4 linked regions of the Saccharomyces cerevisiae S288C genome follow. The protein of the gene in region 3 purifies or fractionates together with the protein of the main gene of each other region. This does not show direct contact. Each region holds a gene or a part of one and is shown on either strand. Other genes may lie near its edges. The genes, in order: COR1, QCR10, QCR7 and PET9.

What was found.
Region 1: the proteins of QCR7 (region 3) and COR1 purify together in Saccharomyces cerevisiae (affinity purification with mass spectrometry; 4 studies listed by BioGRID, with this or other methods). This does not show direct contact.
Region 2: the proteins of QCR7 (region 3) and QCR10 purify together in Saccharomyces cerevisiae (affinity purification with mass spectrometry, with the first as the bait; 2 studies listed by BioGRID). This does not show direct contact.
Region 4: the proteins of QCR7 (region 3) and PET9 purify together in Saccharomyces cerevisiae (affinity purification with mass spectrometry; 3 studies listed by BioGRID, with this or other methods). This does not show direct contact.

Annotation. Positions count from the first base shown.
Region 1 is NC_001134.8:133,643-137,183, reverse strand, and holds COR1 (ubiquinol--cytochrome-c reductase subunit COR1), read left to right. Parts: upstream 1-1,667; coding exon 1,668-3,041; downstream 3,042-3,541. Other genes in the region: ECM13 (Ecm13p), read right to left, coding at 1-496; YBL044W (uncharacterized protein), read right to left, coding at 818-1,186; PSY4 (Psy4p), read right to left, coding at 3,435-3,541. UniProt on the Saccharomyces cerevisiae protein: Component of the ubiquinol-cytochrome c oxidoreductase, a multisubunit transmembrane complex that is part of the mitochondrial electron transport chain which drives oxidative phosphorylation.
Region 2 is NC_001140.6:106,134-108,652, reverse strand, and holds QCR10 (ubiquinol--cytochrome-c reductase subunit 10), read right to left. Parts: upstream 828-2,519; coding exon 822-827; intron 759-821; coding exon 531-758; downstream 1-530. Other genes in the region: oxysterol-binding protein related protein OSH7, read right to left, coding at 1,285-2,519.
Region 3 is NC_001136.10:1,495,647-1,498,345, forward strand, and holds QCR7 (ubiquinol--cytochrome-c reductase subunit 7), read right to left. Parts: upstream 903-2,699; coding exon 519-902; downstream 1-518. Other genes in the region: HLR1 (Hlr1p), read left to right, coding at 1-211; APA2 (bifunctional AP-4-A phosphorylase/ADP sulfurylase), read right to left, coding at 1,145-2,122; CAB1 (pantothenate kinase), read left to right, coding at 2,586-2,699. UniProt on the Saccharomyces cerevisiae protein: Component of the ubiquinol-cytochrome c oxidoreductase, a multisubunit transmembrane complex that is part of the mitochondrial electron transport chain which drives oxidative phosphorylation.
Region 4 is NC_001134.8:162,517-165,925, forward strand, and holds PET9 (ADP/ATP carrier protein PET9), read right to left. Parts: upstream 1,482-3,409; coding exon 525-1,481; downstream 1-524. Other genes in the region: SHE1 (She1p), read left to right, coding at 1-199; YBL029C-A (uncharacterized protein), read right to left, coding at 1,972-2,256.

The sequences.
Region 1 (3,541 bases), on a different chromosome or scaffold from region 3:
ATTGATAATTAGGTGCGGTGTGAAAACTAAAGTACATGTCAATTTTCTTGTTATAATCACCGCCAGAGTAATCGTACTCAAAATCATAGTCTTCATAATCATCATCGTCTTCACTGTCAGTAGAAGATAGAGTGTCAGCATCTGGATCTTCGTCACTAGAGTAAAAATCACAGTAATCTTCACTTTCTATCGTCTTTTCTGCATTTTCCTCCTTACCGACGTCATTTTTACTAGCATTAGCATTGGACAATTCGATATGTTCGATGGACAAGTTTTCAGGTCCTTTACTGAAAGGGTCTCCGGCAAGGGCGTTGGTTGCAGCATTATGAGTTTCCACATTTTCTGTAATCTTATCCAGCAAGTTTGCGTGCCCGACTAAAACTCTCAGGTTGTAGTCTTTGTTTTTAGTAGTCACGCTAACGCATTTTGCCAGCTTGGAGCGTACTTTGCTGGCCAAAATATATTGATCTTGAATCGATGGGGTTGTAGAGTTCATTATAATCGCAGTATGCGGAATTTTCTATGTGAGAAAAACAATAAATAATTGTGAAAAAACTTGGATGTATAGTGTAATACTATAAAAAATTTCTGCTGGTATGTAGCTGTCTTTTTATTTTTTCTTTGGTCATACAGGGCTGTAAGCAGAGAAAGTCGAACAAAGACGTAACACCAGAGAAAGAAACTTGAATGCTTTTGTTAGATATATATATATATATTTATACATATGCCTCTCGCTAGAGGATATATCGCCGCGGAGCGCAGCGAACTACATCCGAAAACATCACAAATAATGCATGGGCAACCGGATACATTGCATTTAGTTTTGCCTTTTTTTCCAATTGTCACAGCTTCCTCGAAGTTTCTGACCCGGTAAAACGTGCGAAATGCCTCTTCTAATGCCGAAACAAGGGAAACCCTTAAAGCTTCCGTGCAAGCTGACCATGCCGGTCCGCACTTCGGGTCTTGTCCGTCGCCCGTGATCCAATAGGATACAACTACAAATCTGGGGTAAAGTCCGACTTTCGGCCCGCCGTGCGTTACTGCATGTTACATCACTATGGTGGGGACGGAAAATCACAGATGAGTCAGCTTCGTGATTTCCTGTTTCGGTGATGCTTGCAGTATACTTCAAATACTTCGCTTTACTTGGCAACCTTTTTTTTTGCCTCTCTAGCATTTCACCCATACCCACCAGGGGGAAAAAGAAAAGAGAGATTTTAAAACCAGATATTCTTTTTCACGATTTACATAACCCGGACTGGGTAGGGTAACATGTATATGAACTTTAACTGTGACCCGGACAGCACGCTTTCTGCACCAATGAAATGCCAATAAATTAACAGTGTTTTTTGTCCTCCAGAAGTTCAAGGGCCCGCGCTGTCAGCTGCACCAAATAAAAACCAAACAAGAAAATTAAAGGCCTACAGCGCTCCCTAACCGATATTCCCCTACTCTCTTTCCCCGTCTTATTCGAGGAAAACAGCGTATAATAAAGCAATAGCTTTCACAGAAAAAATATTATATCATCCCTGTTCGTATAGGTAACGAATCCTAATATTAAATTGCTACCATTGCTGATCAAGACAATTGTGGAGTAATAATACGAGAAGAACATCATCGTCACCATATCACTGAGAAAGAAAACACAAGATATATAAACAAAAAAAATGCTAAGAACAGTAACTTCAAAGACTGTATCTAACCAGTTCAAGAGGTCTTTGGCTACAGCTGTAGCAACCCCCAAGGCCGAAGTAACGCAATTATCTAACGGTATAGTTGTAGCCACTGAGCATAATCCTTCCGCTCACACAGCCTCTGTCGGTGTTGTCTTCGGCTCCGGTGCTGCCAACGAAAACCCTTATAACAACGGGGTTTCCAATTTATGGAAGAACATCTTTCTATCCAAAGAAAACTCTGCTGTTGCCGCCAAGGAAGGTTTGGCATTGTCTTCCAATATCTCCAGAGACTTCCAATCTTACATTGTATCTTCTTTGCCAGGTTCTACCGATAAATCACTAGACTTCTTGAATCAGTCTTTCATCCAACAAAAGGCTAATTTGCTATCTTCTTCTAACTTCGAGGCCACGAAGAAATCTGTCTTGAAGCAAGTTCAAGATTTTGAAGAAAACGACCATCCCAACAGAGTTTTGGAACATTTACACTCCACCGCCTTCCAAAACACTCCATTATCTTTGCCTACTAGAGGTACTTTGGAGTCCTTGGAGAATTTAGTTGTTGCTGATCTGGAATCTTTTGCCAATAACCATTTCTTGAATTCAAATGCTGTTGTTGTTGGTACCGGTAATATCAAACATGAGGATTTAGTAAATTCCATCGAATCCAAAAACCTAAGTTTGCAAACCGGTACCAAGCCCGTACTCAAGAAAAAGGCCGCTTTCTTGGGTTCCGAAGTTAGATTGAGAGACGACACCTTGCCAAAGGCGTGGATTTCGCTGGCTGTGGAAGGTGAACCTGTCAATTCACCAAATTATTTTGTTGCTAAATTAGCCGCCCAAATTTTCGGCTCATACAACGCCTTCGAACCCGCTTCTAGATTACAAGGTATCAAATTGTTAGACAACATACAGGAGTACCAATTATGCGACAATTTCAATCATTTCTCTCTTTCTTACAAAGATTCCGGTTTATGGGGGTTCTCTACGGCCACGAGAAACGTTACCATGATTGACGACCTCATCCATTTCACTTTGAAACAATGGAACAGATTGACCATTTCTGTCACTGATACTGAAGTTGAACGTGCCAAATCGCTGTTGAAATTACAATTAGGGCAGTTATACGAATCTGGTAATCCCGTCAATGACGCTAACTTGTTAGGCGCAGAAGTCCTAATCAAGGGCTCCAAACTGTCTCTGGGTGAGGCTTTCAAGAAAATTGATGCAATCACAGTCAAAGATGTTAAGGCTTGGGCCGGTAAGAGATTATGGGACCAAGATATTGCTATTGCTGGTACAGGCCAAATTGAAGGGTTATTAGATTACATGAGAATCAGAAGTGACATGTCCATGATGAGATGGTAAGATGTGTGATAATATATTTTCCATGCACATAAAATAGAAATAAGCAAGCTGCTAGATGTATACAGGCACGCTCGCACACTCACACCATAAATGAATTTTTTACATGTATTTTATATTCTAGTAACCCAAGTAGTCTTCATTATTTATTGGCAAGGTCACTGTTCCTTGCAAAAGTAGAAAATAAAAAAAGAAAAAAAAAGAAACTCGTAAGAAAACAAGATTAAATAAACGTCTTATTTTATATAAGTGTATATATATATATATATATATATGTGACCAAGATCCTGAAGAACTATCGATTTTAAAAATAAGAAAGATGAACTTTTTTTTGGTAAAACATATTTAATGATATTATGCAAATGGGAAGTTGTTGGTAGAGAAGTCATCTCTCGATCATCTGGACTTCTTGCCTAATGGACTGCTAATATTCTCACGGTAGGTAATACCAGCAATCGCAACCATCTTATCCTCTTGTGAAGAGCTCATCGATGGACTCACTA
Region 2 (2,519 bases), on a different chromosome or scaffold from region 3:
GGTTATTTTAAGAGATGATCTTTCAAGGGTTTTAAATATTAATTATAATATTATTTGGTCTTTTCTTCCGGCGGGTTGAAAGTTCCAGCTGCGGGAGGAAGGTAAAGTACTCCATTTGAAAAAATAGAAATTACAAGAAACGGCGTTAGCATTGGCGTATGCCTAAATCATCAAAATGGCGAATGAAATAGGTTTCCCTGAAAACATAGAGATGTGCTGCCCAATTACAAAGCTCAAAAGATACATAAAAAGAGGAAAAACAAACCTGTAGTTAACTTTTCCCTACTCTTTGATAACTGATGTTTTAGTAAATATTCTGAAAATAGAGGGGTAAATATTTAAAAATGTTGTATGGATCAATTACTTTTTATACCTTTTATGATCCAGTTTAAAAATATGTATAGATAATCGAGAATATGCAAAAATAAAAAAAAATACAAATGTGTTTTGCATTAATTCCTCTTCCAAAATGATAGAAAAGAACGTAAAACAAATAAATAAAATCACTCAGCCGGTTGGATGTTTTGGCTTCAATTAGGTTTATCTTCTGGTGGAGTATGATCTTCCAATGTAGGTCCTAACAACGGAATCTTTTTGTATAGCGTATCTTGAAACTTAGGCCATCCTTCTGTGAATACAAATAGCCCAAGCATGCTAGCACCACCCCATAACATTAAATTCGGAGCATAAGCTGTTAAACTTCTTAAAGAAAGTCTACCGAAATGTAGACCAGTTTTTGAAGACAGATGAGAAGTGTACTGTATTATAAATGTTAGTATACTAATTCGGTTCTAGCTCACATAATATGATAGGATACTTACCGCCATTGAGGTTAGTTTTAAGTCTTATGGATTGTATTTATCGATATATTATTCGACTTGCGCTTTTGCTGTGAAGATTATTCCAGAAGATATCTATAACAAATTATGCATTCAAACTGTTATGTGATATATCCCGTCCCCTTGATAAATGGTATGGTTTTTTGATGCGGAAACAACGGGTTGAACCATATTTAGTTTTAATTGGATCAAAATCACGTGACAAAATACTACTTTGCAATAGTAATACGCACTTGAAAACTATGTAAATATAAGTATATATTCAAAGTGCGACAGCGTTATATCGCATAGCATTCTTCAGTCATTAGAGGTAGTGGTGAAGATTGAGGACAGTTTCGCGGCTCGTAACGTTAGCAAAAACTACCCATAACTAGGTGCATATTACACTGATATTAAATTACAGAGTGAGAAATCGTACTAGTATAATTAAAATAGAATGAGAAGCCTAATTCTTTTGGATTCCATGCTTTTTATAAGCCGGAATAGAAAATTTTTCAGTGAATGTCTGTCCTGGTAAAATCGGGGCAGTTTCCAAAATGCTCCTGATCTGTTCTTCATGCTTGTCGGTCCCTTCAGGGATGTGCTTGTAAATATAATAATCTAAATCCTCACCTGGCTCTGCCCTTCTAAATAGTTTTGAATGAAATTCAACGCCGTCTTCGGCCCTCTTTTTGGCCAGCTCTCTTTGGCGGTTTTCTATCTGAAACTTTTCTTCTGTAGCTACTTCATGGTCACGTACAGCCAGCGCATCCGTAACCTTCTTCCAAAGCCTTCTCGATTCGTATTCTCCCTGTTCCTCCAATGGGCGGACTTTAGGAGCTAGAGGAAAATGCTGATGAGTATCGAAGAGAACAGTCTTTTTAGAGCTTTTTTCCCTCAAATCTTTGATATACATAATATCATTCCACTTACCACTAATTTGGTAGTATTCCTTACCATCGTAATCCTTAATTGTACCTTCAATTGCATCATAGGTACCAGAAATAAAGCCCTTTGTTTTGAACTCAATATCCACTTGATACTTAGGACCCATAATGACCATGTGATCTCCCAATTCAATCCTCATCTTGCCAAACAGAATTCCCCTTGCGTAAACATTTGGTTGCGATAGAGTATATTTCTCTGGTTTACCATTTGCATCCTTGATATCAAGGAATTGCAATACAGTTAACCCCTCCATCATTGCAGCACTTGAGTTTCCTAAAAATTTCGATTTTGGCACAACAACTCCATCAACTCTAATATTCGATTCTGGAATCATGTAAAAATACGCAGATTCAGGAGGATGGTGACTCGTTTGTTCTGCAATGTAAAAGGCTTGTTGCTTGTTAGGCAAATCCCAATAAGCTGTAAAGTGTTCTCCAAGAATGGGATTTAGGGGCTTCTTCACAGCCCTGGGCCCAATGTGCCAACCTGCTAGGTACCATGCTACCACTTTAACGAACCTTTGCAGCCCGTCTTTATTGGAGTGTGCTTCTAAAAGAACATCTGGGAATTGTAATTGATTAGTGATTCTCTCCAACATCGATTTTTTTTCCAGAATAAATGTCGGAAGTGTGATTCTAGATAAATCACAACCTGGCTTCAGCTGGGAAATAATATTTAATAGAATACTTTGCCCAGATTCATCATTCTCATCGATATCATCCGTGTCTGCTCCGCTTGGTTTGGAATTTGCAG
Region 3 (2,699 bases):
GAGTATTCCGGAAGAAATACTACGAGGAGAACCCCTCCACGTATACAACGAAACTAGTGGATCTGATAAAAGTGTCATTTTGCCGACGAAACAAAAATCTGCTCCCATTAACAAGGATAGTAAGCACAGTTCAACTCAGTATGAAGAAAAATCTTTTAAGAAGAATAGAAAGTTCAAAATTTTCGCCAAGTTATTCTGCACTAGGAAATAGTAGAATAAATTTAAGATATATAGACCACTCGATACCCCATCACCTGCATAATTATAGAAAAAATAAATACTAATAGATACCCGATTTATAACACTAGACATTACAATATACGAATTTCATAATAAAATTTTAAGTTCAGACTATAGATAAATAAATAATATGAAGTAAACGTTTCAAGCAAACGCTTATATATATATAGAGAGATAATAAAGGATATGATTTAGTCTCTGTCCCTTCTTTCAAATGAATATTTAATGCCTTTTTTTTTTCGGGTTGTGTGTTCGTGGTGATTTTTTTATTCTTCTTTTCATTTGGAGACCTCTATGTTGTCTAACTCGTCCTTCTCCTTAGCTGCAGCTTCAGCTTCTAATATGTATGGCAACAGGTAAGGAACATCCTCTTGGGCTTTGATCCATTCGTTTCTTGGCAGTAAATGATGAGTCAACTCGGTTTGATGAGCCCTGATTATTCTATATGCTCTGGCATAAGATTCATCTTCAGGGAGTCTTCTTAAAGCGGTCTGCATGATGGGATTTTCCTCTGCAATTAAGTCGTCAAATTTGAGCCCTAACTTCTTGTAACCTGCGAGGTTAATGAACTGATTGGCAACTGGAACACATAACTTGGAGAGGACGGGTGACTTCAAAATATAGTCACCAATTCTCGCAATAGACGTAAAAGACTGTGGCATTTTGTTCTTTCTGGAACGTTTAATTACAGTTACTAATATTCTGATAAATTGTCCAACAACAACCTTTACTGCTATTTTTCCAAGCTTTTACATCTCTTCCCTTTTATTACTGCTCTATGAAAGTAAATTGTCAGGCCCCCCGCCGGGGTGACCCGATAAAAAGCGCGTCGCTCCTGATTGGTCAAAACAAGATCACAGCGCAGTTACACATCTATAGACAATGTACATATGGCTAATAGACCTTAATAGTGATACTCTGTTGGTTTTTGGCCTGCTGTGTTGGGGAAACCGCATTGCAGTAACGACTTGTCCACAAGATGAGGATCTTCAGTGAGGTTCTCTAGTTTTTCTCTGTCTTTAACGAGGATCATACCACAGTACCCCGTGGAGTTAATGTTTAACATCAATGGCGGTCCACTCTTGGCATGCGATCTTGGAACTACACAGATCCATTTCTTGGTCAGTAGCACATTGTATGACTTGGTCAACTCCGGAGACTCATTGGTCCAATCTTGGAAAAATGTAAGTGCTCTCTGCATCAAAGATACGTAACACATAGCAAGAAGATCTTCGTCCACTTGATCAGACGATTCCGGCAGCGGCAAGACGAAATGAGCAAAGGAAACCTTATCATCTTGTAATGGCTCTGCGTTGAAGGTGGGCAAGAAATGATCCTTTCCGTTGCACAATACGTCCTGAAAAGGTATAAATTTTTCAGGCATTTGCATGATCTGCAAGTGTTTGTGATCTTGTGAGGAACCGCTATGAGGTCCACAATTATAAAAGACCAGATACCTTTCACAAGTGACATCATCGTCCTTGTCTCCTTGGAGAGAACAGAGCACATTATAAGCAGTCATCAAGTCACTTGGCGTCAAAGCAGATCTCTGGTCTTTAAACTCGCTTGTCACTAGGAGACTATGTTCAGGGACCACAGGAAATTTGTTGAGTAGCAGCTTATATTCTCCGTCACCATTTAGATCTTCAGTCACCACTAGTTCTTCGTCGGGATTGGCGAACGGGTCCTCCGCCTTTGAATCGCTATTCTTGTTAGCGTCTGGCTTAAGTGCCAAAGATGGAGCAAATGTCACCCAATATTGTGTCGTCGTTTGAGGATCTTTCAACTTCTTGGATTCTGCATGCGTTACTTTCAGATGCCCATTCTTTTTGGCTGCAACGAACTTATCGTGGATTTTCTGTTTCAAATTCTCTTCAATCATCTTTGTCTTCCTATTTTCTCTGACCCAGGGGCTCGGTTGCCTTTTAATTTTATTATATTTCAATAGTTCAACACATTTTCGAAACAGGCAAAAGCTTTACACGTGACGTTGGTATGATCGAGTATTATTCATATGGTCGTTCATGATTGCGTATTTACGACAGTATCTCAAAAAGTTTCACTCAAATGCGGAGAACTATCCGCGATCTACGCATTGAGCTCCTTTAGTTTGTAATTGCCGGGACCGATTTTTTTTTTTTTACTTCTGACTGTTCCACTTAGGAATCTTACATGACGTTAAACGACTAGCGCAGTTCCCCCAATATCGGCCGAAATTTTATTTCACCAACATAACGATGAGTAAAAAGAACTTATGTTTCTGAACAGATTGATCATTAAAACTAAAAAACTACCAGAATAAAGAAATTTATAGTTCCAATTGAGTGCATGCGAAAAGAATCGCAATGCCGCGAATTACTCAAGAGATATCTTACAATTGCGATTATGGCGACAATACTTTCAACCTTGCTATTGATATAGGAGGCACTCTGGCTAAAGTAGTCTTCTCGCCTATACAC
Region 4 (3,409 bases), on a different chromosome or scaffold from region 3:
TGATAGACTTTACAAGCAAACAACGTTCTCTAGGTCGACGTCTATGAACAACTTATCGTCAGGAACCTCTGCAAAATCCAAGGAACACACAAATGTAAAGACTCGGTTGGTTAAAAGTAAGACAAGTGGTTCATTGTCCAGTAACCTTAAGCAAAGTACTGCCACCGGCACAAAGAGTGATAGACCTATTTGGCGGTGATTAAGTAATAAAAAAATTGCATTTTATAAGAAACATCATGTGATGACATTTAAAAAGTGGGAAAGAATACTACTAATATAAAACTATTTACTGGATATTTAGAATTTTTTTTTTTTCTTCTTTATACGTAAAAGTTGTTCAAAAAATTTCATCGTTTTCTTTTTTTATGAATCTTTGATTCTTGTTGAAAAGAATTTCTAAAAAAATAGGAGGATAATAATATTATCAAAACAAATCGTGTCACTCATTAAACACCAAAAATCCAAAGAAGAAAAAAAGGAAAATGTGAGAAAGAATTTAGATTAAGAATCAAGCCAGATTAGACTTATTTGAACTTCTTACCAAACAAGATCATTTGCAGTTGGTCGTACATTGAGATAACACCAGCACCTGCGACACCTCTTAAGATGTTAGCACCACAACCCTTGAATAGAGAACCAACACCTTCAGCAGCAACAATCTTCCTCAAACAGTCAAAGGCACCGTCGTACTTAACAGCTTGACCGGAGGTCATCATCATTCTTCTTCTAACGGTATCCAATGGGTAAGAACATGTAGAAGCACCAGTAGTAACAACCCAACCCAACAAGAATGAAGCCAAGAATGAACCTTCCAAAGAACCAGTCAACAATAGAGGCTTCAAAGAATCGTACATACCGAAGTATAGACCTCTGTAGACAACAATACCAACGACAGAAGGTAAGAAACCTCTGTAAAGACCAGCAACACCATCAGATTTTAAGGTCTTCTTGTAGACATCGATCAAACCGTTGAATTGACGAGCACCACCCTTTTTAGAGGACTTGGAGTCAGCAGCCAATCTAGTTCTTGCATAATCCAAAGAGTAAACAAATAGTAATGACAAGGCACCAGCAGCACCACCAGATGCCAAGTTACCGGCAAACCATTTGGCGTAACCTTCTTCCTTCTTGAAACCAAACATGGCCTTGATCTTGTCCTTGAAGGCGAAATTCAAAGCTTGAGTGGGGAAATAACGGATAACGTTAGCAGTGTTACCTCTCCAGAATGAGATAACACCTTCCTGTGTAGCGGTTCTCTTGAAACAGTCTAAGATACCTGCGTATTTTCTGTCCAAAGTACCTTGTTTTAACATTTCATCTTGGTTTTGGATCAAAAGTTTAACTCTTTCGATGGGAGATGCAGCAGTTTTGGCGACAGCGGCACTGACACCACCCATTAAGAAATCAATCAAAAAGTTAGATTCCTTCTTTGGAGCTGGGGCTGGAGGTAATGGGGTTTTGACTTGGGCGTTGGAAGACATGGCTATTTGCTTATATGTATGTTAATGTATGATTCTGAAGTATAAAAGAGCACACAAAAAAGAACAACGACAAATATAAATAATATAGAGGGGCTCCTTTGACTTGTAGATGTATTGCAATGTTCCGTATAACTAACAGTGAATATATACTTTTTTGAGTGGGTTGTCGTGAAAAATTAATATTAAAAACTCAAATGGTATTTATATTGTGCGACGACGTGGGCCCGATCGACGGAGACATGTCCCCGATAATCGCACCTCACCCTCTGAGAGTGGGGCCTTCTCATTGGCCCGCGCTCTACACCAATCAGCATAGCGCATTTACCGCCTTTCGCTTGTTCTCCATTGGAAACAGTGCTCGTGCATCGTGATGTTATTTGTTACGTATGGAAAAATCGTGTCTATACTTCTGTATAATATATGTATGGTTATAGTGAACACATATATATAAATACATATATAAGAGGAAGAAAAGGAAATTATTTCGTTATCAGTTGGGCTGCTTTTGTCGTAAGTTTTGTTGTTCTTGAATGACTTTATTAAGCTGTTCGTCATTCTTAAAATCTTGTCGCCAATTGCATATGGGGCAGTGCAACTGTTTTCCCCAGAAGACCGGAACCAACGGTATAAACCAAATAGTGAAAAATTCCTTTCTTTTTATGGGGCCGACACTATAATTGTGACAATTCGGGCAATACAGGTTTTGATGTCCGGGAACGGTATCGTATGAAGAGTCGAAACTCTTCATACCACATACAATAGGTATGAATGACATGGTAATTTTTTCTTTTTGAGGTTGTGTATTAAGTTGCTTATCTGATTTCACTTTACACCAATCTTCCTTGCTGACATTTATTCCCAACTTGTTCTTCAGCCGCTTGTTTTATAACGTACATTATTGTAAAAACGGAGTAGAAAGGGAAAAAGGGAAAGGGATGGACGTGGCTAATGCGCATCTTCGTTTGTGTGTATATCCTTTGATCTTCACTACATAATTTGTTACCCGACAATGCTTTTTTTTTTTTCTCAATTTTCATCTCTTTTCTTTTTCCTCATTTCTTATGAAAATCAGTGTGACTAAAATGAGACTTCGTATTTTTTGTAGAGGCACCATACGCCGGCTCCGCCGTCACCACATTCTCCCCTGCCGGTAAAGACCGGCGCACGCGGAAAAGGCGTACATAGCGTCGGGCGGTAACGGAGTCATTCCATCGCTGATAATTACCCCTTGCAGCAAACCCAGAGCCCTATTACGAATCTAGCCCATACACCGCGTTAGAGCACTCGCCGTTTTGCTCCGGGTCGTGCCGTCGTACATGCATACGCGTCCTGCAGGCATACCATAAGCCCACATACAATCACCTGTAGAAAGAAACAAAGCTTGTGTATGTAATCAAAGCAGAAATCTGATGGGTTCGAACGACTTCGTTATAGAAATATTATCTTTGGGTCTCGTCCTGCGTTATTCCTCCTGTCTCCTGCCGCTTTGATAACCTTTTCATTCCTCCCCTTAACTTGTTATTTCGTGTTACGATATTGGGTAACTTAGTAGCGTAAATGGTAAAATGTAGGGACTCAATCTCATAGGTGGTTATGTTTTTCGTTCTCATTTTTCAAATCTGTGACTTCACAGACAAAACGCGTAGTGATTTCTTTATCTGAATGAGCCTTCGAAAAAAAAAACAACGATTTCTTATGCAGTTAGTCGGCCAGTTGGTTATTGACTATCTGTGCGATTCCCCTTCCTGCATAAAAATAAACACAATCTTAATACGCCATACGTTGACTCCATTTTTTGCTCGTTTCATTATATTATCTTCCCATGCCGCTCCTGCGTGGGATTCCCTTTATTATAACTTTTAAGGTTTCTACCCACATATATGCAATTTTTATCATGTTTTTCTCTTTTTTTTTTTTTTTTTTTTTTT